4 linked regions of the Arabidopsis thaliana genome follow. The protein of the gene in region 1 interacts with the protein of each later gene in a pairwise test. Each region holds a gene or a part of one and is shown on either strand. Other genes may lie near its edges.

Region 1 (7,535 bases):
GCGACAAGTCAAGATAAATTCAATGCAGATTGTCTGTGGATGTTGAACTTCAATGATAAAACTTTTCTTCAGAATGAAAAAAAAAATTATTAGGGTGTTTTGTTTGAACGCCAGAGACAAGATATGATTCCTCATTAAGTTTTGATGGCCATGTTGGAAGTTTCTCAGATTAAGAGTGTATAAGCCTAGCAAGGACAAAAGCAATAAATAGATGTGGCTAATCTTCCTTGACTTAGTCACCATATAAGGGAGCGAGTGGTCAGAATCAGATCATTGATAGTTTGATATGTACATTGCGACGATTCAAGTAAAATTCATGCATTGCATTATTGATCTGGTGGATATAGCCAATCGTTGGCGACCCACAGGTGAAGTCCTGACGTGACATGGCTCAGTCAACGCAAATACTACTCAACTTAGAGACGTAGCTGGCCTGTATCTAATTGTTTTAAGGCCCATATACGGCCCACGCTTCCATTTTCTTAAGTATGCTTTTCGTAGTGGACTGAAACCTTTTCTTGTCTATTTTCTCCAAGTCGATTCCTTGATGATCGATCGAGATGAACCTCTATCGAACAGAAACTTCGTTTCTAGAAATTAAATAAGCCTCCATGAACAACAGTTTTTTCTTTTTTTTTTCTTTTGGCTACTAGTATTCAAAATCTTTAACATATTCGCAAATTTGTTAATAAAATGTATTTCACTAGGAAAATAGAGATTGGAATTTGGAGGCGAAAAAACATTAGTTTACAACAATAGTAGTTGAAGCCAAGATCCAGAGTTTTCCTATTGATTTTAAGGGTCCGGTTTATTGTAATTTCCGACTATTTTTTAGTGGACCAATTATTTGGCAAGTAAGAAGTTTTTTTAAAAATATAGACCATATGTGTATAATAGTGACCGGATGGCCCAAACTGACATGTACCAATAGAAAATGAAGACCTAATTTTGGCACATGAACGTAACAGGTATAAGATCATCGTTGTCTCTAGCGAGAGAGCTCTGTAATGCTTACACTTCAACGTGGAGACTGTAAGAGATACGTGTACCAAGAAACGTGAACGCAAAGAAGGAAAGGAAAGAAAAAACGTGTACAAAAAGAGGCCCATGTTAATCATCATCCCTTAGGCCTTCTTAGCTTATGCATTGTCTCTTTGCTAGTCTTTTTCTCACAATCGTGTCGATATATTTTAAGGGTTTTTAACGTGTGGTTTTTCTGTAGGGAGCATTAGTAGAATTATTGATTGGTTTTATTCAAATATAGAATATATATATATATATATATATACATAAAACATTTATTGATGGATCATTGAATGTTCATTTGTTCGTTACAACATTTTCTTATTCAAATTTTATCGATCCTTGAATCAAAGACTTTGACATAAGCGAAACCATTGGTTACTTCTCTAAATTAAAATGAAATGGTAGTCTTCTAATAAATATATATGTTTAACAAACAAATTGGCATAATTTGATCGTTCTAACCAAAGATAGGATTTCGAATCCAAATTGGATGGGATGACTAGACTATTAGATATTTAGATCGATCACCAATCAAACAAAATAGGCGTGCTTTTATATTCATTAAGCTGGTTTAAAACAACAAACAATCCAGCATTTTTAATTTTAGTGGTTGAATAGTTAAGTTAATAAAATCAAAGATAAACAGAAAACAAACAGCTAGTTTTTCAAATTTTGGCGTTTAATTTTATTTGGAATATTTTTTTTTAATAAAACACACAAAAAAAAACTCTTTTGACAAAAATTGGCATCAATACTGCATATCGCATAGCCCCATACATACATGATACATGCCACATCTCTTAAAAGATGAGAACAAGAAGGGATGTATTTGAACTATTCTGACAATATTATATATACACACACATTTTGAATATGAATCTCTCTTCTTCAAAGTTCTGACTTGTTCCAAAATTCTTATCCACACAATGGAGGAAAAAAAGAAAAAGAAAAGCCACAATAATGAGCCATAACCACAACCACACCCACTCACCAGAGACTTTGTGTATCCGTGGCTCTCATCATGACATCTCATCTTCCTTTGATTCTTCACACCACCGTCGATCGCCACGTAGGATTTCCCCAAATCAAAGCATTCCACATAAGCACAATCTTTTATGTGGCCAGAGTTTAATCAACATTTGTTTTTCTTACAATGGGTTCGTGAGAGCCACAAATAAATCAACTATACGATTAAATAACCATATCTAACAAAAAAAAAAAACATTAAACAATTATAGTCCAAGTAAACAAATACTCGCCTACTATGTACCATATTAGAAAGTTTTTTATTCTCCCCCAATACCGATATATTATTTTGTAATTTAAAAATTCATTGTTATCTTATCCTCGCAAGAAACACAGATGTTTTGGATCAGTTTGGGAAGCGAAGAAGTATGGGAGAGAAGTAAAAAACAAAACAAGTGGTTTATAAAAAAAGAGGGAAAGATAATTGAACAAAGATACGTGGGGCCCATTAAACTTGTGTTATGGTCCAGACAAATCCCAGGTGGGCTCACGTGGCTACGAAGCCCATTGAGAACCTGATTCGTCCACGTAGGACGGGACAGAATCTCGCTCTCCTCCTTCCCCGGCTGAGATCTCGCCACGTCATCGACTAAATAAATCTCTCCCAAAAAAATATCTCGAAACTGAACCATGAGTTTGTCGCCACGTACAAACGGGGTTTGGCTTTGGCCCATACGCATTAATAACTGGTTTTCAAAAATCATTTAAACTTATTTATCCTAATAACGCATAATTAATGTGTTTTACTTAAACTGTAATGATTCTAAGTAGAAAATGTGAAACAGTATTTTTTATCCACAAGAAAAAATAAAACACAAGGATAAAGCTAAAAACAATAAAGAAAACATTACTGACTCAAGTAATTTAAATAATTGCAGCAGATATAGATCTGATAATTATCCAAACAAAAATCTCAAATAAAGGTTAAAGTGATAAACCCATCTCTAAAGCAAAAAGATTTTTAAGTTGAACCAATCCTTAATTGATTAAATACTATACGTTATTACAAAGTTAAATTGAAATGAAATGGATACTAACCACAGAATAAAAAAAAAAGGAAGGTGCTATATAAAATAGAGTCATTGTGAAACCAAAGAAGAGAAATAGATTTTTTAGCAGAAGGCAGAAAAAGACGAAACTAGCCTCCAAAGAATTGTTGAATCACAGAAAACTCGCCACGAAAAATATCCCAAATCCTGCAACTTGCACTTTCCTATTCTTCTTCTTCTTTCCTTATCTCTCCAAGGAACCAAAGCATAGACACAAAACGAACAACCACAGAAACTTGAAAGAGAGAAAGAGTTTGATTTTGATTAAAATGGGGAAGAAGTGTGATTTATGTAACGGTGTTGCAAGAATGTATTGCGAGTCAGATCAAGCTAGTTTATGTTGGGATTGCGACGGTAAAGTTCACGGCGCTAATTTCTTGGTAGCTAAACACACGCGTTGTCTTCTCTGTAGCGCTTGTCAGTCTCTTACGCCGTGGAAAGCTACTGGGCTTCGTCTTGGCCCAACTTTCTCCGTCTGCGAGTCATGCGTCGCTCTTAAAAACGCCGGCGGTGGCCGTGGAAACAGAGTTTTATCGGAGAATCGTGGTCAGGAGGAGGTTAATAGTTTCGAGTCCGAAGAAGATCGGATTAGAGAAGATCACGGTGACGGTGACGACGCGGAGTCTTACGATGATGATGAGGAAGAAGATGAGGATGAAGAGTACAGCGACGATGAGGATGAGGATGATGATGAGGATGGTGATGATGAGGAAGCGGAGAATCAAGTTGTGCCGTGGTCTGCGGCGGCGCAAGTTCCTCCGGTGATGAGTTCTTCATCTTCTGACGGAGGAAGCGGAGGTTCAGTGACGAAGAGGACGAGGGCTAGAGAGAATTCAGATCTTCTCTGCTCCGATGTATGGATCTATCTTTTTTAACTATTTTGTCGGGAAATTAACAGAGAAAGTTTTGGTTTTAATTATCGGTTTCGTTGTTTTGGAAAATGCAGGATGAGATCGGAAGCTCTTCAGCTCAAGGGTCAAACTATTCTCGGCCGTTGAAGCGATCGGCGTTTAAATCAACGGTTGTTGTTTAACTCACACTCTACCGTATCGTCAGAATGAACGGCGCCGATACATCGTCTTCTCCGATCTTTGCGATCTCCAAAACAAGAAGAGATCTCAGCCGTTGATTCCTTTTTTTTTCTTGTTTAAGTAAATCACCACCGTTCAGTTTTCTGACAATACTTTGTTTTAGAGATGAGGTAGTTTCTTTCTTTCTTTGAATGTCGTACAAAATCAAATCTTAACTTTTTATTTTTCTTATCAATATCATTATTATGTTGATTTTTTTTTTGTTAATCTACGTAAGTAAATTAATTTCGATTCGTAAGTTTATGACTTATGTTATATGATTATATTCAATGGATCAAAAGGAATGGGGGAGAGATTGGTGGCAGATGGACACAATGGTATACACATACCGTAAAAATAAAGTATATGATTTGCTTTGTAATTTCGACCACTCAATTGTGGGGACTACAAAGAAAATGAAATTAAATATGATAAAATTTCGAGAGATTTTTATAATGTAATGGGTCCTTGAGGTTACATTCATTCGCCAAGAACATTGAACCTGTCATATCTGCCGCGTCTGTGAACTGTGTTTGATGGTCCATAAAATATTGACACCCCCATGTTTTACCTTATAACGTTATCTCACCATGTTCTTCATTCACATGACAGGATCACATCTTTGTTCACCATAGTTCTTTCGATTTTAATTTAAAATTTTACTCCTATTGGTTTCGTGTGTGTCATTTGGGTCCTATATACATACATCAAAACCGTTTATCCCTTCTTTTTTTTAACCACTTGATTCTCTGGCTTACCGAGGAACTGGTGTTGTGGGGGTTGGACAGTTGGGTCTCTCTCGAATTAATTTGAATAAAACATGTGGTTCTCATTTAAACTACATATTCTTTTAACGCAAATTCTTATATTGTTTCAATTTATAAGTTTTTATACGATTCCAACAAAACAAAACAAAACATTCGAAATTTAAACTCATTATAAAATCGATATAAGAAAGTAGAAAATATTTGTTAGGAAATTCGCTGGGTTTCACTATCAACGCATGACTAGCGTCAAATACTTCAACCATTAGTCCATAGTTCCAATTCCTAAAGTCAAACCAAAAACCTAACGGATCAGTCTTTATCCCGTACGTTGAGTTTGACTATTAGATTAAACTACACTAATTAACTACAAACCTAACATTCATTCATTTTATTCAACCATAACGTAATTTACATTCACACGACATCGTCAATTCCAAATATAATAATTCAAAACTGGAAACAGGAGATATGAAACTTGTCATTTGAAACTCTATGACTGGATCAATAAATTAAACATGCGAGAGTATAGAAATGATTTTTTGATTAGTTCCATATTTGGTAGCTTCCTCATGAGAAAATGTATGCATGAGAATCGAGAATTGTCACAATACATATGTGAATTTCTCTTCTCTTCTTTTTGTTCCTTTGTGCTTTTCTTCTAAATTGATTTTCTTGTCATGATAATTCTTTAGCAAACTTGTTTTTTTTTCTCTTTTAAGAAACTTTGAGTTGTTAGGGAAAGAGAAGTGCGGAAGAGCTCTAAGTCAGCCAGTGTAGATCACAATAATGAAAAAGGAACAATAAAAACATCCTCTGTGCAGATATTTATCTAGAATGGAAACCATGCAAAGAGGACAGAGTTGAGCATATCCTTTTTAACATTAATTCATACCATATTATTATGTGTAAAGTGTGAGTGACATAAATGTTGTAAATAATCTATGTTGTAACATAAATGTTGGAAACGGATGAACAATTAGTATGAATAATTGAATACTTTGGTCGATTTGTTTTAAGTGTTAAAAACCAAAATAGATTCCATCTTTTAGTATCTCATCGGATATCAAATTAGATTGAAGATTAAGGTCATAACCCCAAAAGGGTATTGTTTAAATGTGAAAGTCATACATGGAAAAGGGCATTGTTTAAATGTGAAAATCATACATGGAGAATTATAAGAAGAACAAGGACTGGGAATAAATAATCCAGAGGAGATTCCAGAGACTTTTCAATATTGCAAAAGATAGCAATAAACAAACACACAAACACACTCCTCTGCACAAATCCGTTTTGTTTCATCCATCGTTGTACCTACGAATTCCAAAAGAATAAGAAAAAAACCCGAAAGAATGGTCGGTGGAGACCACTCAAAGTTGAAAAGGTTGTTTATATTTTACCTGACTGTGAAGAGGGTGAACCTGATGAGATACTAAGGCACTTTACTCATCTGTAAAAGGAAGAGGGCTCAATAGTTATTCGCTTTGGATAATAAAATCATACCCAGACAACCTTGTTTTAATTAATTAGCTTGATGTCAAATATCCTTCTACAAGTGTCAACTTGTAAGAGTTGAAACTAAGATTCACAAGAGGAGTCAATCAAGAAAAGATCATGTACATTTTCTTTTGCAAACCTAGGCTTTGACAATTCATAGCTATTTTGCATCATCTTACGCACAGTTATCATATGTCTAGAAAAGTGTATAACAAAGGCTGTCTTAGCAATAGACTAGCTAGATCAAACAAAGAGAAGTGCTTATGATTTCTATATCACTCTATTCTCAAGTTTTTCCCTAGTCAAGTTTTACAAAATGCCACCAACCAGATATTTTCTCTAATTTACTGAAAAGGAGTTTCGCCAGGAAGCACAGGAGATTTGTCTCTTCTCTTCTTTATCAAGTCAAGAATTGTGAAACTTTGCTTACTATTACTCCAAACCAGATCAAATATAGAAAAGAGTCAAGAGATCACCCAAAAAAAAAAACCTTTCTTGGTGGGGGCCAAACGCAATTTTCTTCTAGACTGAGAGGTATCAAGAATATTCGAATTGAAACACAACCAGTTTTAGTAAAGAAGAGCAAAAGCAGTGTAGGAAAATCATGAAGTGAGAAAACGTTGAAGTTCATTTCCATACTTGCTCTTGCATTGCAGTGAAAATTTCCAAAAACTTCTAGATAGTCATCAAAAATGGCTACGAAATTTAACATACACTCAACAAAGCAACAGACACAAAAAAAATATGGAAAAATCAAATACTTTTCGATACTAAAGCAGAAAGTTAAGTAACCGGCTCATTCGTAAAACCACTCCTACAAGGTGAAACAGAGTCGAGCAAATTAAAAGTCACAATACTCTAATTTCTGAAGACGAATCATAGAAAGATCTAAGTTTTACAAGTTTCCATCATTGGCAATCTCTAGAAAACACAAAGCTAAGGTATTCAGAACAATTCCAAAAACTTATGCCACCACCACCAACCTTATATAGCAAGTCAACGAGAGAAAGTAATGAATGGATCCTAACCTTTGATGTGTTCATGATGATCGGAAGCAGCAGCAGCAATCTTAGCCTCATGATCTTCATCATCATCATCGTCAT
Region 2 (9,094 bases), on another chromosome or scaffold:
TATAATTCACACCTTCACGATTTTGATCTAATTTAAGATGGTTTTGAGACTTTTTCGTTTAATTCAATCTTCCAACAGTAGCATCATCAATCAAATAGTCAAATTTTCATGTCAGCTACTTGGATCTAAGTCTCATTTTTTCTTCTTGATAAAATTGAAGTAAACCTATGGTTTCTAATTGGACTGCATATTTATATGTTCAGAAGCCCTATAACACGTTTGAAAGATAAAAATATAGCTGTTATTATTACTTTTCTGGTCTGAAATGCTTGAACATGTTGATTTGTAGGGTGGAAATAACTTGGTCCTGTCTACTGCTAGTCCACCACCACTGGTAACTCAAGCTGCTGGACTAATGCAGAGCTCTATACCTGTCACGCAGCAGCCTGTTCCTGTTTTCCGCCCTCCGGGCTTACATATGTCGCATTATCCACCAAACTACGTGCCATATGGATACTTCTCCCCATTCTATTTACCTCCCCCTACAATGCACCAATACTTAAGCAATGGTGCATATGCTCAGCAACCTCAGGCAAGCGGTGTATATCCTCCACCTCCTGGAACTGCAACAGGAGGCAAATACACACTCCCTCATTACAAGCCTGGGACTAATACAGGAAACATGACTCATGTCGGTATTACTGGTGGGTATGGACCAACATATGGGTCTTTCCCAGCAGGATATAATCCCACCTCTGCTGCATCGGCCGGGAATTCGACTTCCAATGAGGATCTCAACTCATTGCAGTTGAAAGAAAACAACGGCTACAGTACAACAGGGCAACAGGTACATATTCCCTCTCCCTCCCAAAACCAACTCAGTTGAAAGTTTAGTTCCCTTTCCTGATTAATTTATAATTGTGGGGTCTCTGCAGAGTGAAGCATTACCTGTATGGATTACTGGACCAGGACGAGATGTGCCAAGCTCTTTCTATGGTTTACAGCACCATGGGCAACACGTGACTTATGCTCCAGCACAAGCTGGTCACGTCGCATTCCCAGGTATGTACCATCCGGGACAAGCAGTAACAGCAACAGGAGTCCATCATCCGCTTTTACAACAGTCTCAAGGTGTGGCTGGAGCTGAAATGGTTGCACCTGCGCCTAACGTTTTCCAACAGCCTCAGCAAACACAGATGAATTGGCCAAGTAATTACTGAAACAGGAAGTATAAAGGAGAAAAAGATTTTGAAGATTCAACAAGTTTCAAATTCCAGAGAAATCAGGAAAGATATATGGGTGCGGGTTTTTGTTGACTTGCGTGTGTGTGTGTGTGCCATCTAACAAATTACCAAAGAGATGAAGCTATGAAGTTGAAGGCTTAAGCATGAAGGAGATTTACAGAGAGAATGATCATAAGGGTAGGGAAAGGTATTGTATGAAACCAGTGTTTTGGTGTTTTCTATATCTTTTTTTTTTTCTTTTGATTTAGCAAATTTTTTTCTTTCTTAGCTTTTAAGAGGTCTTTTTTAGCTCTCTTTTTAAGTTTCTGAGCTAAGACAAGAACTTTGCTACCTGAGTCTGTATCTGAAGACTCTTCCTCTCTTCCTTCTTTTCTTAGCCTTTGGTCAATGTTTTCAAATCCGAGTCAGCAATCAAATTGGACAAATTTCTTGCTCGCGAATCAACTTTCTCTGAATGTTTATTCCTCAATTCGAAAATTAAGGCTTGTGAATATGAGTCTTCAAGAAAATTCACATTAAGTTGTAAAATCCGAAATACTCCAAATATAAATGTTAAAAACTTTTGGTCCATATGTCATCTTGAAAACTACTGTTTTGCATCTCAATCACTTTTGATAAGTGTTCAAAATTGACATAGTAGAAGCTAAGTTTAAGTAAACAGCGATAAAGCGCCTAAACTCACATAAATGGACTCCCCTTTATAATCTGACATTTAAATAATAAAGTTCAGATGTTTTGCATTGCCTCATTGTTGGATCAACCTCTTGAAGTTACTACAAACCAAAATCTCGTTAAACTTGAACTAGTACTAGTCGGTTGTTACAGAACGAGACTTAGGTTAAGTGGTACCACATAACTTTCTTTGTCTATAGAAGAATGTGGATAATGTCTTTAATTTACAAGAATGCCGAGTACAAAACAGAAAAACATTTATGAGTATACAAACAAATACAAAGGCATATACAACAATCACATATTGTTTAAATTACTCTAAATCTCCTTCCCTGCCTTTTTAACTACCAAGAGAAGAACAAAATTCATGGAACCCTGATCAGTGTGAGACGCCTGAAGAAGAAGAAGAAGAAACCGGAGTTTGGACAAGGAAAGTCAGAGAATAATCCCTCTGGTCAAGAATGAAGCTTCTGAGGCCAAAAAAAACGATTGAATCCCAAGAATGAATGATTGCTTACAAGAGTCAGTCTTGAAATCTGTTCATGCTACAGTAGTCTTGTTTTGTTACTAACCCACAATTTTCCAAGTTGCTCACTTGAAACTGCCCATAAGTCAAAACCTTTCTTGTTCGATTCTTCGCCATGTATATATATCTATGTACCTTTCAAAAGGAGTCTTCAATAACTTCTGGTTGGGGTGAGAGGGTCGTAATCATAAGCTTCACCAGCTTTGACAAATCGCCCCTTTACACGCCGTCTCACATCAGCTCTTGCTTTGCGGGAAGCATACCTCACTCTCTTATCAAACCTGTTTCCAGAAAAAAGAAGCCAGAGTCACATTAGGAAAATCCTGCACTCACTTCAATGATGCTCATGTATTTGCAGTTTCAGACTACTACTTACTTGCGAGCCTTCTTCTTCTCCTTGTAACGCATAACTGCGTTATTACGGGTTACTGAATGTGAGCAGGCATTGTTATCCTGTAATGTTGGAGGATACCATGGTGGCTCCCCCGAGAGCTGTATGGAAGATGATGCACCACATTCTTGGAAATCTCCAGCACTACTTTCTCCAGTGACTCCAGAGAAGGATATGTTCGAATGTGCTGGCTTCGATGCGAAGCAAATTATTGGCTCAGTTTTCGAACTCATGAACGAATCATTACTGCCTGCTGGCTGCACCGAATTCCCTCCCTGGATTGAGCAAAAACAAGAGAGCATTATTAGAATCACACAGAGATGCATCCAATTTGATAAATCTAAGAAGAAAGGGTAATGGATAAAAACCTCTGGAGCTGTTTGGTGCTTATGGAAAAGGCTATCGATTCCACCATGCCCGAATAGCTCTTCAGAGGGGTTAAAGGCGGTACCAAAGAGTTCTTCATAGTTCTCAAGTGCCATGTCAACTTCATCCATACCAAGGTTCCCGTAGAAGTCATCTTCACACATTCCAACATCCTTTAAACCAAAACAAACAACAACTCTGAATTTAGTAAAGAAATGATAGATATGTATATCCATGGATGCAAAAGTAATAACATATTGAGAAAAAAAGTTACCTTAGCAGAAGATGATTTTCCTTGTGGTACAGAACTGGTTTCAGGAATTGAAGAGGATCCAACCAAGACATCTTTCTTATCCTCATTACAAGTTTTCTTGTCGGTAGGACCATCATCGTCTATATTCATCATACCCAGTTCTTGTTCACAAATAGATTGTCCAGCTAAGTCCAAACAGAAAGACCAAATGGAAGCGAGTTCTGAGCTGGAAGGGCAACCCGAATAGCAACTTATGGTTTGCCTCTTATGCTGCTGCGGCGAAGTAGAAGAAGACGAAGAATTGTTGTTGTTGCTGTTGTTGTGGCCAGACCAGTCACAGTTTTGACAGAGTGAAACCCTTTCTTCAACACACCTGACAGTAGCAGGCTGAGCATTGCATCTCTCGCAGACAAGTGTCCGAGAATGTCGTTTGGACAATGCATTAGCGGAATGAACACTCCGGTCACAGGAGAGACACAAACAAGCTGCATCGGATCGACAGTACACCATAGATCTTTGTTCACCACAGAAGTCACACATGTAACCCATCTTCCTTGGCTCTGACCAAATCAACTTTCTGCTGTCCAAAAAAGTAAACAAATTATTAGATGAAAAAGAGAGAGACTTTTGGTTCAAAAAAGCAAGCCTTGAAGAAGAAATAGATGGAATCTTTCTGAATATAGGTAGTAATTTCTAAAAAAAGGTTGTAGGAGATTAATAACCAAAGGAGAAGGATAAAAAAGGGAAAGGAAACCTACTTTCATGAGATTTTACTCAATACAGAGCTTTTATTATAAACAAGAGTCAGAGACCAAAACCTACAAATGGATATTACTGAAAATCGAAATAAATTAATAAAACAACAACAACTCAAGCTTCAAAGTATAAACCCCAGATCAGTAAATCTAGAGATTTTGTTTGACTTACTAGTTCAAATGGAACTGAATCGAAAAAATCTGAATTTCCAATAAATAACGAAAACTTTTGGATCAATCCCAATCATCATCATCCGAACAAGTTTTAAAACCCCAAATCAAAAGATCCAATTCAACAAAAATCAAAACCAACCCTTCATCGATATACAATGAATAATCAATCACTAACACCAATTATACAACAGATAGCAAGAAAATAAGAACACACTTGGGATTATTAAAATCAGAAAAGAAAAGACAGAGGGAGAAGAGAAACAAACAACTCACGTAAAGAAGATCCTTCTTGTGGACTACTACTATCTTCTTCAGAAGTTGAATCCAGAAACTTTAGAGACAAATAAACAAAGCCTAGAAACAGAGAAGATGATGACTATTCCAGAACTTCTTCTTCTTCTTCTTCTTCTTCTTCTTCTTGTTGTGGCTTCTCTCTCTCTCTCTGGAGGAAGAAATGAAAAAAAAAAATGAATGGATAGACAATGGGTGGGTGTGTCCGCAAAGGGACATGTAGGCGCTTCTGACATAATCTGATTTATCAAAAGTGCCTAATTTCCTTCCTTCTCTTTCTTTTTTTTATTAATTAAAAAGACGAAAAAGTGCAAAAAAGTTCGTGTAGGGTATTGTGGGTCCCTCTCGTATTTATAGTGAAAGCAATAAAATTTTTATGGATATTTCTTAAAGATATTACTATTAGAAAGAAAAGAAAAAAAGGTTGTATGTTTTTTACTCACGCGCATGCGAGTATTGAAGATAATCTACTCGCGACGTGGAAGTTACCAAGTGGCTAGTTTGTGCCATAATGGATTCTCAAGCGTTCACTTTTTTGATGCTTTTCGACGAATCAGAATTCAGAAAATCTCCCTCTCTCTCTCTCTCTCAGTCTCAGATAATAATAATAATAATTGATAAATCTGTTTGCTTTGACCTTACAAAAGCCAAAAATATCTTCTTCTTCTTCATTTTTCGGTGGGCGTATATAACAAAAATATCTTCTTTTGGTAGAACAAATAAAATAAATTAATGATATTTATCATTGAGGGGAGAGAGAACTGAATGAAAACCAAAAAATATCTGCCAAGTTAGATACGTCTGTATAACTCTTTCAGACCAGAAAGATATTTCACACTACGTCTACGTACTACTAGCCTTTGCCCCAATATTCTTCATAAAAATAATAATCATAAAGTCGCTGAAAAATAATGAAATCAATATGATAGATCTCTCTTTTGTCCTTTTTCTTTCCTCATATTAATATTGTTCACCGGTTTACTTAAACCCATTTCTTTATTTCGATTTCTTGGGTACTCGATATCGATTTATTAAATTGAGTAATATAAAAAAGCAAAACATGATAGACCAAATATGAAAGAATGATGGTTAAGTCTTGGATGAAACCCCACCTCCATTTTTTTAAGTGTCTGACTGTTTTCACATGTTTACAATTTAAGTTCCTATTGAATATACGATTTAGTACCACTAAATAATTGATCATAACTTCAGTTCAAAGTTTATAATTACAAGATGAGAAGTCGAATTGAAATGATGCATTGTTAATCAGAAAACTATTGTTTTTGAAATTGAGCAAGTGTTAATTTTTAAACTCATATAATATAGTATTAGTTAATGGTGAGTTAATATTGTGTTTCGTTCTCAATTAAGAAAACATCAAAATGAATTGCTCTTTATCCAGACTCGTATGTATCCAATCAAAGACGAATGATCAAAGACCCTAATTGGTTAAAATATTAACAAATCTGCCTGGCAAATAAGTGAATAGTAGTCATCTAATCAAATGATAATGAAAGCGAAAAGGCGACGATAAGACGCACTAAAAAGATCGAACAAGATATATAAAAACAACAAACAAAAAAAATAACATATGATGCTGAAATGTCAGTAGGATAAGATTCTCGGACGATCCGAAAAACTTTGGTACAAAACATCGTATTCCTTCTTCTTCATCAATATCCTATTATTAAACAACCGGCTTAGCAGTTAGCAGAGCTGACGACACCTCACTTATTTTCTCTTAAGATAACATTAACTATCTCTATTACTATACTTCATGAGTGCCTTTTATGGACTTCACACCAATTTTAATCTCTCTTTTTTTATGCCTCTCCCACCAATCATAACTCTAATCATTTGTATTATATTAAGTAATCCCACTCCTATGTTATGATCCTCCCATGAGTTGACCAAATATATGTACCTTTAAATCAAAATGCTTCTGAGAGTTTAAGATTTGGTTGAACCAAGTCAGCCCAAAAAAAAAGAAACTGTTTCTTTCATAAATAAATATCCTAGAAAAAGCAGAGTGACGTGGATTTGGTTCTGCTGAGCATAAGAATTTTAACAAAAGGGTACTACTACAATAGGGAAATTTACTGCAGGTCCAAGCAAAGACTGTAGCAGTGTTGGGCCATGAAAAAGACCTGACCTGTGAAGATTAGCCATAAAGAGCACGCCACGGACTTTCTTCTTCTTTTGATGTCTTTGATGCGCTCCACTTGATTCTGTCTCTTGAGAAAGACAGTCCTGTCCAACTAGCCACGAGCTCCCCTGTTTCATGGATCACCTGTGATGACAACAACAACACAAACTCGTTATTCAGCTGAAATCAACCAGCGAAAAACAAGCATAAACTGAGACAAAATTACTAAGTAAAATTACCTGAAGCTCTTCGTCTAGAGCTTTATGAGTTAGGCTATTGCTTCTTTGGCCTATGAGAATAGCGGTAGGCAGGCGTTTAACACGAGCTAGATGAAGCAAGCATGACAAAGGTTCATAATGGATCTGCATCGATAGTGGTGGTTTCTCGATGCGAGAAGCAAATAACCTACTGGTCTCTGTTTCTGTAGCAACTTGAACGTAATGAAGACTAGCTTTTCTGTTATTTGCTTCCAGGGATCTGTTATTGAACTTGAGCTTAGATGCCGCCACAAAGAAAGGAGCTATGATTGTGGGTAGAGTTGACGATCCCCTTGTAATTAGGTCCAGCAGTTCATTCATAGCACACACTAGTACTGGAGGCTCATAACTTCGAAGAAGAAAAATCGAGACCTTAAACAATATAAGAAATAGTCCGAAAGTTAAGCAATGAAATCATAGTCCAGAAATACACATTCAACAGAGAAACAAGAAAACATGATATCAAGTCTTGCAAGTTGCAAGATAACCAATTTGGGGATAATATTATCATCAAGGGCCAAAATCTGACCAAGCTTAGAAGACAGTCCAATATCATAAGTTAGGTTCCATTTAGCTGACAGACTGAAGAAAAGGCATTTGTTATTGCTTTTTCACTAGCCAAGTCAACACCTCTAAGCACTCTAACTTAAGCATATATAGAGACTTAGTTTTTTTTCTCATAAGGCTTTAGTTTCGGCAAATACAATTTAATGAAGACAAATCATAGTAACAGTTGCACATCCTTAAGAATCCAATCATCATATCACATTTTGCAGGTAAACAGAGTCGACTAATCAGAAAGTAATCAATCTTGTACAAATTAAGGAGACCACTATTCTTCAGCTTAACTATATCACTGAATAAAATTTCAGTTCTAAGAACAAACAACGACTATAAATAAAGCGAGAAACGAACTCAATTAAACTATGAAGATTAATAGAATATAAACGCGATTTAAAGAGGAGGAACCTGATAAACTTCATTTTCATCTACGAAATGAACGATACTCCCGCCGGTTTCCACACCTTCAACGCCATACTTATCCAACGGAAGCTGGATCTGTTCTTCTCTGCAGGAATTACAATGTTAGGCGGAGATAGTAAGTAAAAGGCGGAAATCGAGAAAGGACGAGTCGAGTTTACAGTTTGCGAAGAGGGGAACTAGGGCTAGGGTTTAAAGTATCAGAAATGGTTGCAGCAAATCCATCGGAATCATTCCAGAGGAAAACAATCTTCTCCGCTACTTTCATCGTTTTGAGAACTGAGCGAATCTGTTTAATCCTGTTTTTGGCTTATTGCACAAGAAGCGATTATTGTTTAATCCTTCCAAAATTCTGATTTCTTGTTATTTGTCATCTAGTCCCTATTTTTCCCAATGTTTTAAAATCTGAACCAAAAGAAAATTGGATGATATATGATTTTTTTATTTTTTTTTTTTTTGTGAACAGGAAAACAGATTATATCTCGTTTATTAACTCAAAGATATACCACTAACAATAGTCAATCAAAATTTTGAAACGTCATACAAAAAGAAATTTCTAAAAAAGACACAGGATAAGTATCTATGTATGGATGAAACACGAAAAAACACTAGTTCTTTGGTATTTGTCATTGATATCTGACTTAGTGACTACATTCTTACTAAAAACAAAGATGATCTTTTTTGGAAAACTAAACAGAATTTGTAACAAGAGCGGAATGTCTTGTAAGGTGGTGACTCCTCTCAGACCTCACCTCAGGGATATAGCTCCTTATACCAGGATTATGATATCATCAAGCGGATCTCTGTCACAAACTATTCAAATATTTCACCTCACTTGATATAATTTTACTAACTCAGATCCGAAATGCAAACCAATGAACTATTTACCAAGAAGATGTTTGAAATGTTTAGAGCATTGTAGTGTCCACTGGGTAGCTTCCCAGTACCCGCAAAAAGGTAGCAAACTCCTGCCAATAACAAAATCCAGAGTCTTAGTCACATGTACATGTTTTCAGATCAAGTGACCAAAGGCTTTACCTCGAGATGCCTAAGTGCGTTTTGAGCAACTTCATCAGCCATAGATGCTTCAAAGTCCAC
Region 3 (8,394 bases), on another chromosome or scaffold:
CTTGATTATTAAATGAAACAACTTAGTATTTTTTATGTTATATTAATCCCATTCCCTAGATGGTAAACCGGTGTTTAATCTGAATTTTAGTTTGAGTTTTTGGATTTTTTGTTATCAATAATGGTTTTCAAAGTAAAATCTTTGATGTGATATAAAATATAAAAAGTTTGGTACAATTTCGGTTTCGAATTGGATTCAAGTTCTTATCAAAAATATTCTCAAACAAATTTACATTAGCTGTTTTTTGTGGTTGTTCAGTTCGAATTCGGTTCAGTATTTCCTTTCGGCAATTAGCACTTGAATATTTGATTCATGAGAAACTTGAACCGTCCAACCTAAATATTGTTCATGATCAACTTTATAATATCCTAAAGCCATTAAGCCTTTACTAAAATTTAAATCCAACTATGTTCTACTGTTTAATATCTACTCGAAACATCCAAAAATCTATAAATCTCCTCCTTCATCCAATGATAACTAGGACTTACCACGGCTTTCAACTCATTCAATCTAGAAGATCATTCTCGTCTACAAACATTAATTGAGATCCACAAATCACTCAATCAAAACCAGATCACATAGCCTCATACTTATATTTTTATAAATCGATCACACATTATCACTTTCATCTCATGCACGTATAGTCACGATTACATTCAATATACGATTTTTCACATAGTCTAATGCATAACACATCAATCTTCTTGCTAAGACGGTCACCTTTTACATATTCATCTAATCCATTCATATTTGAATAGAGTGAATACAACAAACTATAACCTTAATCCAATAAATATTTATAAGAATATGTTATATGTGAGTTCAAATCTAAAACTCGATGGCTAGCTTGAGGTTTGGTGCATACATCGAAAGTCAATAGCAAACAGGATGATATTTTCAGGATGGAATGACTATACGACAGCAAGTACTAACCTCGAAAATGAAATGAATCTGGCCGTGAGATGACAATTTAAAATAGCTAAAGCCTAATAATGCAATATGATGGGTGGAGCAAAATAATTGAAGAACTAAAGATTTTTATTTTAGAGAAAGTCAACCAAATTATAAAGAAAGTAAATGCAAAATGTCAACATTTGTTTTAACACATTAGAGTAAAGTATTTTTTATGTGGGCAAAGGCTCTCGATCTTTAGCTGCAATTATTAAATTTGTGAAAACTATCATATATTGATGCCTCACTTCACTCATCTTTTGAATAATAAAGCCAAGAACATCACGTCAAAAATAAAAACTACAAAAGTCAAGACCATGATCACCATGTTCCTACTTTCATCCTAAAAAGTTTACGAAACAACAATACACAAAGGAATGAAAAAGATGAGAAAAGAAAGCCAATAAATATAGTTTTCTCACCCAAACAATTGAAGACCATGTGATATATAACTATATAAGATATTAGGTACTAACATGAAGCATGCTATATCTATATAGTATGGTTTAATAGAATATTAGGTAGATGTATGTATAATTAACTTCAGATTGCATAACGTTTATTATTGAACTGGTAAAATCGAGGGAAAACAAAAAAAACTTACCATTCTTAGTTACGTACATACACAAAACATGCAAAGAAAGATAACTACCTAACTATAAATTACGTTTTTGTTGTTGCTGCAAAAATACAAAAAGGAAGATAAAGAGAAGGAATTGTGATAGACCAATATATACAGTGGCAATAACATTTTTACACCATACCATTATATATATAGGGAATAAAGGTATTGTCTGGAGGAAAATGACGTTTCCGTAAACAAAATAATGATAAAACAAAAATAGTGAAAAGAGTGAAAGAGAGAAGTGCAAAAGGGAATCTGTTGGAAGTGTAGAAAGAGAAAGCGACGACCACTTCAATCCAGTGTTGTTCTTTCTTTCTTTTTTCCTAGAAAATTAAAGATATTGCTTTTTACCAAATAATAATTTTATCTTGGTGGTAGAAAGGTTTGCAAGAGTTGTAATATACAGAAAGAGAGACAATGGGACCTAAGAAGGGAATCTCTGAGGAGAGACAGAGATGTTTCAGATCGAAAGAGACGCCAAATTGTGTCTGTCACTCTGTTCTTGTGTGTGGGTCTCCTCTCCTTCCTTCCTTATCGAATCCATATTCCATTTTGCTTTTTTTTCCCTAGAAGATTTTTAAGAATCCGAATTTTAACATAATCTTTTGTTTAGTATAATTCACTTTCCTTCTTTTTTAATTACTTTTTAAGGGTTCTTTAAAGGTTGTGTTTAGTTAAATTTTCGTTTCTCTATTATGAATTCAAGTGATATAGAGAATAAAGATTTAAGTGATATAGATGATAAAAGTTCACTTGTTAAAGAATAGTTGAATATTGAAGTCCTTTATGGTTTCGAAACCGAATTTACAACGTGATTTTCTGTAGGTTTTCTACATAATAAAGAATCAAAATTCGTAAAAGTAAGAATATAGAATATCCATTCCAAGTGAGTTTGAAACACATAATAGCTAAGTAACATGTGAAAAAACCTTAGGGCATAGGAAAATAGCAAAGGTTGGATGTTTTGTTTCTCGCACCACATAATGGGCAATGATTGTAACACCATTCATCTTCTATTCATATAACAACACAAGTACACAACCAATAATGATTTGTCACATAGGTGAAAGCGACACATGTGTGGGAGGAAAATTATGTTCGCTGAGCTTGATGAATCAATGAGAGAAAACATGGCTTTAAGAGATGAATCAAAGATGGATGTAAAAGGTAAAAAACACATCCTCATCCGATTGAAAAGTGGAAATCAGTAATTTATTTCCAACGTTTACTATATTCCAAACCTATGGACAAACATCTTGAGTTTTGGACAATTCTTAGAGATATGTTATTGATATTCGACTAAAAGATAATAACCTTTCTAAAAGAGACCAAGAAAGCAATCTCGTTACCAAGATACCAATGTCAAAAATAGAATGTTGTTATTGACATTCAAAATGACATTGCACAATGTTTCAAGATGTGCTACAACAGAACTTGCAAGATTTTTGGATATTTGGATACTTGGTGTGAATTCATGGCTGGATTTAGGATATGTTCCTAGTATATATATATTGACTTATTTGTTTTCTAAATTGCCAAATAATGATCATCTGGAACGATTTACGAGTTAGTAAACTTCGTACATGTGAAATATTCTCCTTATCGATCATGTCGTTAACATCCTAACGTCCCATCCAAATAATGGGCTTAGAATTGGGCTTAGCAGAAACATGGGCTAAAATCCTTGTGCGTGGATCTGAAAGAAAGGCAGCCAATTAATGTGCCTAAATCCATACACTGTAATGCAGCCAATTATTTCTCAAGTAATTAATTACCTATGTAAATGCAACTTTATTTCCGGTACAACAGTTAGATATTTTCAATTAATGACATCTTCTTCTTCTCCTTTCACTGCAAAACCGAAAGCTTGAGACTTTGAGATTATGTCTATGTCATCTTCTTCTTCTTCCATCGATCACTTCATCACCTTTCGTCATCTTGATCTTATTCTCCACTGTATAAAATCAGCGAGATTTTAAGGGATTGTGAAGGTACCATCTTAAACACAAAATGGGTACTTCTACTACAGAGAGTGTGGTGGCGTGTGAATTTTGCGGCGAGAGAACGGCGGTTCTGTTTTGTAGAGCCGATACGGCGAAGCTTTGTTTGCCTTGTGACCAGCACGTGCACTCGGCGAACCTTCTCTCGAGGAAGCATGTTCGTTCTCAGATCTGTGATAACTGTAGCAAAGAGCCGGTGTCCGTACGTTGCTTCACAGATAATCTCGTATTGTGTCAGGAGTGTGATTGGGATGTTCACGGAAGCTGTTCCTCCTCCGCGACGCATGAACGCTCCGCCGTGGAAGGGTTTTCAGGTTGTCCTTCGGTTTTGGAGCTTGCTGCTGTGTGGGGAATCGATTTAAAGGGTAAGAAGAAAGAAGATGACGAAGACGAATTGACTAAGAATTTTGGGATGGGGTTGGATTCGTGGGGTTCTGGATCTAACATCGTTCAAGAACTGATTGTTCCTTATGATGTGTCTTGCAAAAAGCAAAGCTTTAGCTTTGGGAGGTCTAAGCAGGTAGTGTTTGAACAGCTTGAGTTACTGAAGAGAGGCTTCGTTGAAGGCGAAGGAGAGATTATGGTTCCGGAGGGAATCAATGGCGGAGGAAGCATTTCTCAGCCATCTCCGACGACGTCGTTTACTTCTTTGCTTATGTCTCAAAGTCTTTGTGGTAATGGTATGCAATGGAATGCTACTAATCATAGCACTGGCCAGAACACTCAGGTCCATTTCTCTATCTCTCTCTGGCAATTGATTTTAGGGTTTTAAGTTTGGTCATGTGTTCTTGCTTTTGTGCTTAGAACATGTTACAGTAACTTCAGTTGGATCTTTAGGTCTCCAAATCTGTTAAGTTACCTGTCGGAACGTTGATTATTCTTTCTTGGTTGTCCTAATTAGAGATAAGACTCTGTTTTATGGCCTGGGGTTCACAGTGGAATATACGTTGTTGCAGATATGGGATTTTAACTTGGGACAGTCGAGGAACCCTGATGAACCTAGTCCAGTCGAAACTAAAGGCTCTACTTTCACATTCAACAACGTTACTCATCTCAAGAACGATACCCGAACCACCAATATGAATGCTTTCAAAGAGAGTTACCAGGTATTACATTGTTATTAGGTTTGGAATTGTAAACCATTTTATTTATCTCACAAATTGACAAACACAACGCACATTGCAGAACGTAATTAGAGTTTGTTCTATAGACAATAAACTCCCCCGATCCCTAAATTCAATCCCAAAACACTCCATACCTTAAACATTTGAATATTCCCTCATATATAGCTTAAGTTGGTGACTGATATACTGGTCTGGTAGTAGCTACATCTCATGGGTTTATTTCTATTGGTTAGAACATCTTGGAATGAATGAAACCTGATGTATTTATATCATAATTGATAAGTCAAACTACTATTTTTGGTATATCTTTGTCGGTGAACTGTGATACTTATAAGTAGAATGTAGCAGGAGGATTCCGTCCACTCAACTTCTACCAAGGGACAGGAAACATCTAAGAGCAACAATATTCCTGCTGCCATTCACTCGCATAAAAGTTCTAACGACTCCTGTGGCTTGCATTGCACGGAACATATTGCTATTACTAGTAATAGAGCCACAAGATTGGTGGCGGTAACGAATGCTGATCTAGAGCAGATGGCACAGAACAGAGATAATGCTATGCAGCGGTACAAGGAAAAGAAGAAAACGCGGAGGTAATGATGTTCTCCATTTTTTCTTTTAGTTTCCCTTTTGTAAGTTGATTGTCTTTCGAAATCGCTAATTTGTAATTGCTTCAGCAGATATGATAAGACCATAAGATATGAAACGAGGAAGGCGAGAGCCGAGACCAGGTTGCGTGTTAAGGGCAGATTTGTGAAAGCTACAGATCCTTAGATGTCTCTCCACGTTAGGTTTTACATTTGAGATCCTAAGTTAGGAACTTTTTTTGTTTTTTCTACTTTCAACTACCTTGTAAATGTAAATGATCGATCTTCAGCTGCATAATGTGTGGCCAGATTTTTGTAATTTTTACGTTTAACCTTCTAGAAGCAAAGTTTCTTAACCCAATCAAAAGAAGACAGACTCCACAGAAGTTAAACCCGTAAATCTCGGACGTAAAACATGTCACATCACTGGACAAAAAAAAAAAAAAAAGCTTCGTTGAGTGATAGTAGAAAAACCAAAATTCCTCAGGCAATTATTATTAACTCTGTTTGCCTCTATTTTTGTCATCATTCTCAAAAGGGATCAACTACTATATGTAATATACAACTAAGATCATCCATGAGACTAAAAATTGGAGGATATTTACATATATCTGCAACTATAGGGAATGCCTTCCTCCTACAGTTTTTAGGCAGCTACAAACGTCTTACACCTTACATCTTAAATCCTCCTCTGCAAATTCACCAATTAGAACGTATATCAGCAATTCTAGATTTTACACTTAAGCAGAACTTTGCGGAACACATGAAGGGAACCAAAAATCGGATTGCCCACATCTACTTAAACGTGACACACATGATGACTTTTTTACTCTAAACCACACAAAAAACTAATAGACAGTGAAAAGAAGTAAAATTAATGGTTTACCTCTTGTTTGGACATCATTAGGTGGTCTGCACGTTCGGGAAGAGCCTGTGGCGGTGGATGGATCAATGACATTGGGGTTAAAGGAGGCGAGGGAGTGCCTAACTTTTTAGTGCCCAGACTTGTCTTAGACATATCTAAATCTGATGCTCTAAGGTTGCTAGTAGGTATAGAGAAGCTACGAGTGATTGCAGGTGGTATAGGAAGAGGAGAAGCTGAATTTGTAATAAGAGGTTTACTAAGCAATTGGCTCCTCGAAACCAAGGGAGCTGAATATCCCAATTCCCTAGAGGACTTAGTAGAGCTTCTTGGTGGTGGTCTAGGAAGCTCATGGAGCTCACTTATTTTTGGGGTTGAGACAAATGTAGGGGAAGCAGTTGGAGATGATGACACTTTTGGCAATTTAGAAACTGGATTCCTTGGGATCGGACCAGAGTATAAGTGAGATGTTGTAGAGAGAGGCTTGTTCGGTAACGGTTTACTTGTCAGTGGACCAGAGAAGGATCGTCTCTTGAGTGTACCGAGACGAGAGAACAAGAGTCCATCTGCTAAAGGCGGAGGCAACCGAGATGTATTCTTGTTACTCTCTCTCAGGACTTGTTCTTTCAAGGCTACCATTGATCTTGAGGAAACCTTTGCAGGTCCGCGAGTTTCAAGTGGGGATGAATACCAAATCTGCTTTGTAATTGCCTTTGTAGGATTAGATGACCCCACGTTTTTGTGACCTGGACTTGTAGTAGATGAGGGACTTCTCGTTGTTTCCACAGGAGTTGGCAATGCATAAGTGTTGAATTTCCGTGTCAGAGTTGATCGCATCCGTAACAGCTTTTCTGAAGGAGGAGTTGTGCGGTTCTCGGGAAAAAGTGGTGCTGATTGGCTCACTGCCCTTACATCTCTCCTAAACGAATGAGATTTTCTGTAATTTCCTTCCTCATTTTCCTGGTAAATAAATAAAAAGACAAAGACTGGTAAGAGAGAAATAAATTGGGTGGTTTTCGTGGTAAAGATGAAAGAAATTAAATTCCTTGAACTATGAGCTTCCTGAGAATTTGTCTGCGTCATTTGAAAGGAAAAGCAGAGAAGATGTGATCAAAAATAAAGCATGGTTGTGTTACCTGTGCAGTATATGGTCCTCCAATTTGTGGAAATGTGATGTCTGAGTTACCCAACTGCATGCATTAGGCAAACATTTATTAAGCAAACGGGTTTAAGAAATAAAATAGCACAAGATTCAAATTACTCAAGACTGATAATCTAAACAATTTCAACCGATCTATTTTAAATGGCATTCATCATTCGTCATCTCTAGCAGCAAGTGGTCCAGAAAAAAATGTTCTTCTCCATATGACCTTTTTGTTGATAAAAGATTCAAATTGCTTCCTGTATTAACCTCATTTATAATTTCTTAGGTCACCTTTGGGAGAAACATTGGAACATCGAATATCACTATTCTATTAGTGATAACCAATGCACTAAAAAGGATAAACAGGAAATATCATCAGAACCGTAAACATATGAAACCATCACCTCTGAGGAGCCACCAGCTGAAGAATCCGCATCTTGGTCCTTGTCATTAACTCTATATTCAAAACTCAACTCTCCATCATCATGCACCTCAGAACCATCGTTCTCATTGTTTTCAATTTCATCATCCCCGTCATCATCTTCTAATCCGCTGAAATGGTAATCAATATGCTGTGACTCGGTTACCATCTGTACATGTGGGTCCACTTCTTCAAGGGAACTAAGAGCCTTCTTGAAGAAGCATAACTGCAAAACCACACAAAAAAGTGATATCAACAGAGTGCTCTGGTGATCGAAACAGAAAGATGAAAAACAGCCCAAGATGAAACCTGTGCTGCATGGTGCCTTGCTGCCTGAGTCAAAAGACTACGTGTTTGCCCTTGTTTCAGGGATTTTAAACGGAAAACAAATAAAGTCGTCTCGTTTTCATAATCATCATGAGCTTCTTGTAGTTGCTGTGGCGAAAAAGTTTCTCCTTTCCCACCCTTTGATCTCCCTTTCTCTCTTTGTCTTGTAAGCATGCCTTCATAAACATTCCTGAAAGGTAAGAGTTCCATGAATAATTGAATAAAATACTTTTTGCCCACTAAGATATAAGGACATGTTGATAGGAGGAGATAATTTAATAACTATGGAACGGTAATCCCCTCATGAGGCCAATCAGATTTCTGCAAAACTCATGTATCTCTAAAAACTGAAC
Region 4 (7,850 bases), on another chromosome or scaffold:
TCATTTACGCATAACCTATCTGCTGAGCAGGTCGGAGGTACAGTAGACCATCCAGTGCTTGATGGGTCTGCTTCATTCCACAGGGCGTCTATCTCTTCACCTGTGCTTCGTAAACCGCTCACAAACTTTGGTGGAACCTTACATGTTAAATCAAACAGGTTGTGCATCACCTCACTGGAAAGCAGGGTAAGTAGAAAGGGAAAGCTGGTTGTTAAAGGAAATCTTCCCCTTAGATCAAATGAAGCATCTGCTGGTGATGGAATAGAGCTCAAATGTGAAGTTCTAGAAGTACGAGCAAAGAATTTTTTAAGGTATACTCTGCAATATCAACGCTGCTGTCAATCATTTTAAGCTTTTAGTACATAATTTTGATTTATCTTTCTTACTTTAACTATTGATATATCTTGATGGGTACATACTTTATCGTGGATCAGTTTTGTTAATTTTATATATCTAGACTGCATGCTGAGATACTGTATCGTCTAGGTTTCTTCCATTTTGCTCTTCTAGACTCATGTTACTGAGCTTATTACTTTTTCTGATTCCGTGAGAGATCGTGTTGCCATATCAGTTGTCAGGTTGATACTCAGCTGCAAATTACTGGATCAATGTTGCAGCCAACTATATCAGGAAATATTAAATTAAGCCAAGGAGAAGCTTATCTGCCTCATGATAAGGGTGGTGGAGCTGCCCCTTTAAATAGATTGGCAGCCAATCAGTATAGTATTCCAGGTGCTGCTATTAATCAAGCAGTTTCTTCACGATATTTTGCTCGATTTTTTGGCACTGAACGGGCTTCTTCAGGGATGAAATTCTCTCAGTCGACTGGTAACCTACATGTTTACTAGCAAAATTTCTACGTTTTTTTCTATTTTAGTATTTGGACTTTGTATGTAAACACTTTTGTAATGATCTCGGTTTGTTTTGCCTGCAACAGGTAAATCAAATTCTGTTGAAAAGGAGATTGAAGAAGTGAAAATGAAACCAAATATGGATATCCGTCTGAGTGATATGAAACTTGTTTTAGGACCAGAGCTGAGGATAATGTACCCTTTAATTCTTAATTTTGCTGTTAGTGGTGAGCTTGAACTTGATGGCATGGCTCATCCAAAATTTATCAAACCAAAGGGTGTCCTAACATTCGAAAACGGAGATGTCAATCTTGTGGCTACTCAGGTTTTGCCTAAATCTCTGTTTTGATTTTATGTGGTGAACTCATTCATTCCATAATTCTTGCAAAGCCAACATGTCCTCGAGTAACCAACATCTATTTTGTTTTCTAAACACAGGTACGTCTGAAGAGGGAGCATCTCAACGTTGCAAAGTTTGAGCCTGAACATGGACTAGATCCTCTGCTAGATTTAGCCTTAGTTGGTTCAGAATGGCAATTTAGGGTTCAAAGTCGTGCCAGTAATTGGCAGGACAAACTTGTCGTGACTTCAACACGTTCTGTTGAACAGGATGCTCTCTCACCTTCGGAGGTAAATTTGAAGTTAAAATGTAGCTGTATTTTGGAAATTGTTGTGTTTTCTTCTTGATGGAAATCTCTGTTTAATAATCTCCCTTTCGCAGGCTGCAAAGGTGTTTGAGAGCCAATTAGCAGAATCCATATTAGAAGGAGATGGACAACTTGCTTTCAAAAAACTTGCAACCGCAACACTTGGAACCATAATGCCAAGGATAGAAGGAAAAGGAGAGTTTGGTCAGGCGAGATGGAGGTTGGTGTATGCTCCGCAGATCCCAAGTTTACTCTCTGTTGATCCAACTGTGGATCCTCTCAAGTCTCTGGCGAGCAACATATCATTTGGAACGGAAGTTGAAGTGCAGCTCGGAAAACGTCTTCAGGTCAGGCATAAACATTGAAATCTTCTTTCTTCTCCATATGGCCTCATTTTTTTCAAAACCTAACCAAAATAAGCACTCCACGGTTCTTGCTGTCTTTTATCTACAGGCCTCTGTGGTAAGACAGATGAAAGATTCTGAGATGGCAATGCAATGGACACTTATTTACCAGCTCACGAGCCGCTTGCGTGTCCTTCTGCAATCTGCACCTTCCAAACGTTTGCTTTTTGAATACTCTGCTACATCACAAGACTAAATCCTTTTGTCTTCCTCTGTCGGATTCATATGGATATAAGCCGTTTGTTGCAAAGGAAGTGCATTTTGGAATAGCATGGTTTTGGTGACTACCGACAAGAAAAATTATTTTATTATTTGGTCAGTCTTTCTTTGTGCACTTCTTCTGGCCTTTTAGTGGTTAAAAATGTAAAAATTACATTGTAAATGCCTTTTGTTAGGGAATGCATATAAAATGTTTTGCCACTTCATTGACTGATTGGTGCAACAAGAAAGTAATGAAATTTATTATATCCAACAATGGACATGGATGGCTCTTCTGGATACTTCAGTTAAAACTGGAATGTCTTACAAACACTTGCCCAAACAGAACAAAGACAACATCCAAAGATATACACTGAACAGACTAAAGCTTATGGCTTACTAAGAACCTAATTAACACCAAATGCTACAACGGCTTATTGGTTTCATCTAACTATCATTAGCTGCCTCTGCAAGCTTGGCGGAAAATCTAAGCTTCTTGATATTCAATCTTCTTTCCTCAACACATAACGCTTTCCATTCATCACTCAACTCTCTTCTTTTTCCAGTTCCAAGGTTCATCAGCTTCTCAAGCTGCAACTTCTTTTGATAACCACTTAAACCTTGCGACATTACAGCCTCAAATGCATCCTGCACAGCGCATAACTCATCATCATCATCGTCATCATGTCTCTCTTTTCCACCAGTAGTCCCGTTCTCTGTTGTTTTCGCTGCCCCATTCTCATTTACAAGTTCAGTATTAGCCACTTCCTCATGCTCCTTCAACATCTCCTCACTCTCGCTCTCGCTCTGCTGTGCTATTTGAGTAGTCCCGTTATTGTCTCTTATATTCTCTGCACCATTCTCATTAAAGGGTTCCTCATGCTCCTTCAACATCTCCTCCTCGCTCTCGCTCTCGAGCTGCTGTGCTTTCCGAGCAGTCTCGTCGTTGTCTCTTATCTCCTCTGCACCATTCTCATTTAACGTTTCCTCATGCTCCTTTAACATCTCCTCCCCACTCTCGTTCTCCTGTGCTATTCGAGCAGTCCCATTTTCAGCTGCGCCATTTCCGTTTACATCGTGCTCCTTCACCATCTCCTTATCCATACCATCATCATTACCAAATTCACCTTGTCCCCAAATCATCGAAGAAAATCCAAAGGCTTCAGAATCACTAGACCTAGTAAATTTCGGATCATTCCCTTCACTGATTTTCTCCCAATGAACATGAAATCTCCTTTTCAACTTCCTGATCTTACTCAAAACCTGCTCCTTGGAGAATTTCGCAACGATAGAACTTCCGAGGAAACTGTAAAACGCATCCCAATCAATTTTGGGATTGAATCCTGTCTTAGCTCTGTAATCAACTAATCCCTGAGAAATTTCGAATCTGGTTTTGAGAAAATCAGAATGCAAAACCAAATCAAAGTGTAACGGAGAAGATGAATAGAATACCTTTAAGATAGAGAGCTCATCTTCCTCGTTCCAGATCCGGACGATCAACGGCGGACCCAAATTCTTCTTCTTCTTCTTCTTTTTCTTCTTCATAGTCTCTTCGCCTGCTTCTGCTGCGAAGGAAGCAGCAGCACGCTTTGAGGAAGGATTCCGTGGAGATTCTCGATGGGAGAGGGTATCGTCGGAGTTATCACCACCACCACAGGAAGAGAAATCGATCTGCTTCGGAGTCACCATGGTAATTGCTTTACACTTGCTGATTCTAGAGGCATGCAGAGAAACCCTAAATCAGGAAATCATATTAACAAAATTGATCAGTGATTCCCAAATTTTCACGACCTTTAAAAAGTGAAACCCGAGAGAAAAAAAAGCTAGTCTTTCCAAATTTCTGAATCGAGCTGGTCAAAAAATATCATGACTGAAATTTTCTCTGCACTTCTGTTTTATAGTATAATCGATAGGAGTGGATTTTGTTACTTTTGTACTTTTTGTTACAGAAAGGAGCAATATATTAGCGGGCTGCGCAAGCCCATCTTACTAATAAAGTGCCAAATATCGGTGACTGTTGAGAGAAAATCACAAAATTTGGAAAGCAGTGTTGCCTGCAACAGAAAATGCATAACAAACACAAAATTGCTAAGGTGAAACAAAAAACAATTAATATCCTCCTCTGCCATCCTGATGAGACCACCACTCACTACATGGTCTAACCATCGAGCCACCATTTACATGAGTAACCCCAAGAGTCCAGTTAGATTGAGGCTGCCACTCTGGTAGTATATCATTGTCATTATCATTATAACTTTGGTTCCTCAAAGGTTCAGATTTTCCATATTTTTGAATAAGCTCTCTTACAGATACAGACCGGCTTGTCCGGTTCACGACAACATCCCCACTGGAAAAATAGTTAAATTCAGGCAAGTCATCATCTTCATCCCGAGCCATGGTCATTGGGCCAAACCCCGGTGGCACATCATCACCATCGTCATTGTTGACCTGTAGCATGTTACTGTAACGAGAAGTATTATATGTGGTTAACGAAGAACCCTTTTCACGGTGGTTCTTGTGAGAGTTGTTAGATAGTGGTGATTTTTTAAATTGTGTGTCTTCTCCATACAACAACACCTATAAGACCATCATCATTTATAGATTTCAAGAAATCGAGTTGGTTTCTCGGAACAATCTTGTTTAGAATCTCGACAGTTCTCCCACGGGTTGGGCATAGGTATAGCTCAACTCCTGAAGCTGGTTCTGCATAACCCACCCTCCCATCTTTAGCGTATGAATCCACCACCTGTATAGTAACAAAACCAAATGCCCAAATTTCGTTACCAAGTTAGACATTCTACAGATATTTAGGAGTGTTTCAATTTAAATTCGGTTTGGGTTTTCAGTTTGTACAGATTCGCGTTCAGTTTTGATCAAATAAATCATTAATATTCAAATAAATCTCAAGTTTTTTTAATCATCTTTTCGTTTATTTGGATACACAGAATCTTGGTTAACTACCAACGCTCATACCTCGGAAATGTTCTCTTGTTCTGTCTTTGAGCACTCTTCTTTGCAGACGAAACACATAACCTGTAACACGAAAGCAAGGTTTCAGAAGTACCATGATGGATAAACGAGTTCATCACATACATATAGAATCGAGAACAAACAGGTCTTAGTTTTATTGGAATATGGAGGCCTATTCAAGAAACATAAGCTATGCAATTGTTCTGGTGAAAATATTTTTGTAAGTCCATCTATCTCCATTGTGATTCACAGATGTAATGTATTTTTCTCAATCATTCACAAATCAGTATTGGCCGTTAATCTCTCCTCTTCTTTCCTAAATGCTTCTACTTAAGCTTGGTTAAACGTCACAGTTAATAGCTTTTGCAGGGGCTCAAACACAGAATGCGTATATAAAACATGTACATTAATGATAGAGGTAAACGTGTAGACAAATACCATTACAGCACGACTCCTGGAATTTGGGAGCTCTCGAACAAACTTCTCAAATGCATCTAATCTGACTCTACCCTTAATCTCGAGCAAAATAGGCCACTCTTTTGTAGTAGTCTTTTCGCCACTGTGAAGCGTAAAAATCAGGTTGGTAAACATGGTATCAATAACAGCGAAGCCATATTCATTAAAAAAACATTTTATAGAGCTGATAAGCACTAGAATAGTATAGATAAGTAGTAACATGTAGACTAAATAAAGAAAGCTATTCATATATGCAAACCTAAATTTGGAAATGTGGAATAAAAAAAAAATACTGAGATAGGTTTGCTACCACTCATGAAACAATTTATTACAAACCTTCTTAGAATGCCGATGACAGAGCTCACAGTAGAAGGACTCAGCTGGAGCACACCTTCCCATAAACGTTCACCATCAGGTATGAAAACAGATGTAGTTTTGGATTTCAAATCAGAACTAGGCTTTGACGATACTATGTCAGCATCCTCAGCGTTAACAGGTGATGATGCCTTAGCCGTAAGTGGTGACAATGCCTCAGCCTTAACTGGTGATGTACAAAGATCAATATTAGCACTTTCTTTGGGTGATGAAACTAAAACCTCCTCTACATCATTATTATCTGAAACAGAAGGTTTTTTCTCAGTATCTGAAGACAAAAAGCCAGACGGAGATTCAGAATCTATGGATGACATGAATTCATCAAGAGAGACAATTGGAGGAAGAGATCCAGTGGCAGCCTGCATCTCATCATCTATTGTGACTCCGTTTATTGGCCCAGTGCTCTCATTAGAGCTGTTCAATTCATTCTTGACTCCAAGAGTTTTCGTGATGGAAGGGGTTTTCTTCTTAAAATTCTTTGTTCGAGACCAGTTAATCGAACTCATTCCAACAGAGACCTCTACAGAACCACTATCCATTGGTTCAACTTCCACTTGGAACTCTCCTTTGTGTGTTTTCCTTACTAGGCTTCTGATATCCACCTCAGTGTCCTGCAGAACAACCATCTGAGCCATCTCTTCTGCTTTTGCTTGTCGCCACTCAGCTAGTTCCTTTGAAGCAAGTTCCTCTGCTGACATGGAACACAATCGCTCTGCTGCAATTTCTCCATACATAACTTTTTCCCTGAGTTTAGGATTACTCTTGTCTTTCAAATTGAACAAGAGAGACCTTCCTTTCTCTTTATATTTCTTATTTACACCACCAAATAACTTAAAGAGTTCTGTCTCTATTTCAAATGCCAAAACTTGTGGATCCAGTAACAATTTTTCCAGGCTCCCATCATTAGCCATTGCACCAATCATTTCATTTTGACAATTGACAGTAAACTCAATGTCCGACTCGAGAGCCCAAGAGAGGTCATTCCCTTGCAAAAGATCATCTTTTGAAAACACATTGTCACTATATGAAACATTGTCTTGCACAAACGGTTTTACAGCCTCAGGTACTTGGGCATCACTTGTCTTGGCGATAGACAAAATCTCCGGTAACACTGTCTGAACAGAGATACCCGCAACAGGACTAGGATCACTGAGGGTCAGCATCTCAGTACTTCCATTAGATACCATCACATCAACTCCAGAAGCAGCTGACACTGGCCCACTAACATGACCTTCTAGAGGATTAGCTACAGTCTCACTATCTAACATTTTCGACTCGTTAGGAACATCCATTTGACACTGTACCATTGCCAATGCACCAGCTAAAGATTCTCTCATTTTAGACCTCACAGAACCAGACGACTCACTTTGAGGTTTCAGCAACATCGGTTTCTGTAAAGTCGGTTTTCTCGCCGCAGCTTGCTTCCCAGGTTTACTAAAAGAAACAAAACTATTCTTACTAACAAACGAAGCAGGCAAATACTGTGTTCTAGGGGAAACAGAAGATAACTGCACAGGCATTGGAGCAGACGCCCACGGTCGACCTTCCATAGGTAATGCCATCCGTTTATTTTGCACAGAAGGATGCAACGGAGATTTCCGCTTACCAGGTAACAGAGTCTTATCCATATTAACTGATCCTAAACCAACAACACTAGGCAACATTACATGAAAATCTTGTCTCCCACCAGAGATATGACTACAGATTGGTTGTGACAATCTCATTTCCGGATTAGAAATCAGCTCAGGAGTGGGAGTAGGGACATTAATGAATTGACCCATTTGCATACAAGGCTGAGGCAATAGATTGTTGGACATAACAAATCAATCTAACAAAACAAAGGCTGCAAAAGAAAAATGACAAAGCGGATTCAGTGAAGATTCAAAAGATTTCGTAACAACAAATGTATCGACATTGATTCAGCTGTTATTGGTTCTCATTGAAACAAT

What was found.
Region 2: the proteins of BBX28 (region 1) and COL9 interact in a two-hybrid assay, tested with the Arabidopsis thaliana proteins (one large-scale study listed by BioGRID).
Region 3: the proteins of BBX28 (region 1) and BBX12 interact in a two-hybrid assay, tested with the Arabidopsis thaliana proteins (one large-scale study listed by BioGRID).
Region 4: the proteins of BBX28 (region 1) and AT2G25650 interact in a two-hybrid assay, tested with the Arabidopsis thaliana proteins (one large-scale study listed by BioGRID).

The regions. Positions count from the first base shown.
Region 1 is NC_003075.7:13,672,483-13,680,017, forward strand, and holds BBX28 (B-box type zinc finger family protein), read left to right. Parts: upstream 1-3,054; 5' UTR 3,055-3,370; coding exon 3,371-3,955; intron 3,956-4,047; coding exon 4,048-4,134; 3' UTR 4,135-4,573; downstream 4,574-7,535. Other genes in the region: PHOS34 (Adenine nucleotide alpha hydrolases-like superfamily protein), read right to left, coding at 6,378-6,385, 7,461-7,535.
Region 2 is NC_003074.8:2,437,341-2,446,434, reverse strand, and holds COL9 (CONSTANS-like 9), read right to left. Parts: upstream 4,867-9,094; 5' UTR 4,595-4,866; intron 3,973-4,594; exon of another isoform or gene 3,970-3,972; 5' UTR 3,942-3,969; coding exon 3,414-3,941; intron 3,313-3,413; coding exon 3,142-3,312; intron 3,049-3,141; coding exon 2,759-3,048; intron 2,664-2,758; coding exon 2,534-2,663; 3' UTR 1,903-2,533; downstream 1-1,902. Other genes in the region: AT3G07660 (flocculation protein (DUF1296)), read left to right, coding at 290-787, 876-1,160; AT3G07640 (period circadian protein), read right to left, coding at 6,774-6,902, 6,998-7,387, 7,985-8,084, 8,158-8,264; ADT2 (arogenate dehydratase 2), read right to left, coding at 8,905-8,964, 9,035-9,094.
Region 3 is NC_003071.7:14,185,239-14,193,632, reverse strand, and holds BBX12 (B-box type zinc finger protein with CCT domain-containing protein), read left to right. Parts: upstream 1-3,378; 5' UTR 3,379-3,586; coding exon 3,587-4,303; intron 4,304-4,532; coding exon 4,533-4,682; intron 4,683-5,045; coding exon 5,046-5,293; intron 5,294-5,380; coding exon 5,381-5,474; 3' UTR 5,475-5,710; coding exon of another isoform or gene 5,711-5,713; 3' UTR 5,714-5,719; downstream 5,720-8,394. Other genes in the region: AT2G33490 (hydroxyproline-rich glycoprotein family protein), read right to left, coding at 5,967-5,978, 6,174-7,109, 7,286-7,339, 7,698-7,940, 8,024-8,231.
Region 4 is NC_003071.7:10,910,704-10,918,553, reverse strand, and holds AT2G25650 (DNA-binding storekeeper protein-related transcriptional regulator), read right to left. Parts: upstream 4,044-7,850; 5' UTR 3,790-4,043; coding exon 3,553-3,789; intron 3,472-3,552; coding exon 2,548-3,471; 3' UTR 2,338-2,547; downstream 1-2,337. Other genes in the region: emb2410 (embryo defective 2410), read left to right, coding at 31-311, 572-828, 938-1,176, 1,290-1,481, 1,573-1,845, 1,952-2,098; AT2G25640 (SPOC domain / Transcription elongation factor S-II protein), read right to left, coding at 4,646-4,846, 5,074-5,133, 5,509-5,629, 5,863-7,718. UniProt on the Arabidopsis thaliana protein: Probable transcription factor. May play redundant roles with GEBP and GPL2 in cytokinin responses by regulating the transcript levels of type-A ARR response genes. Involved in stress responses.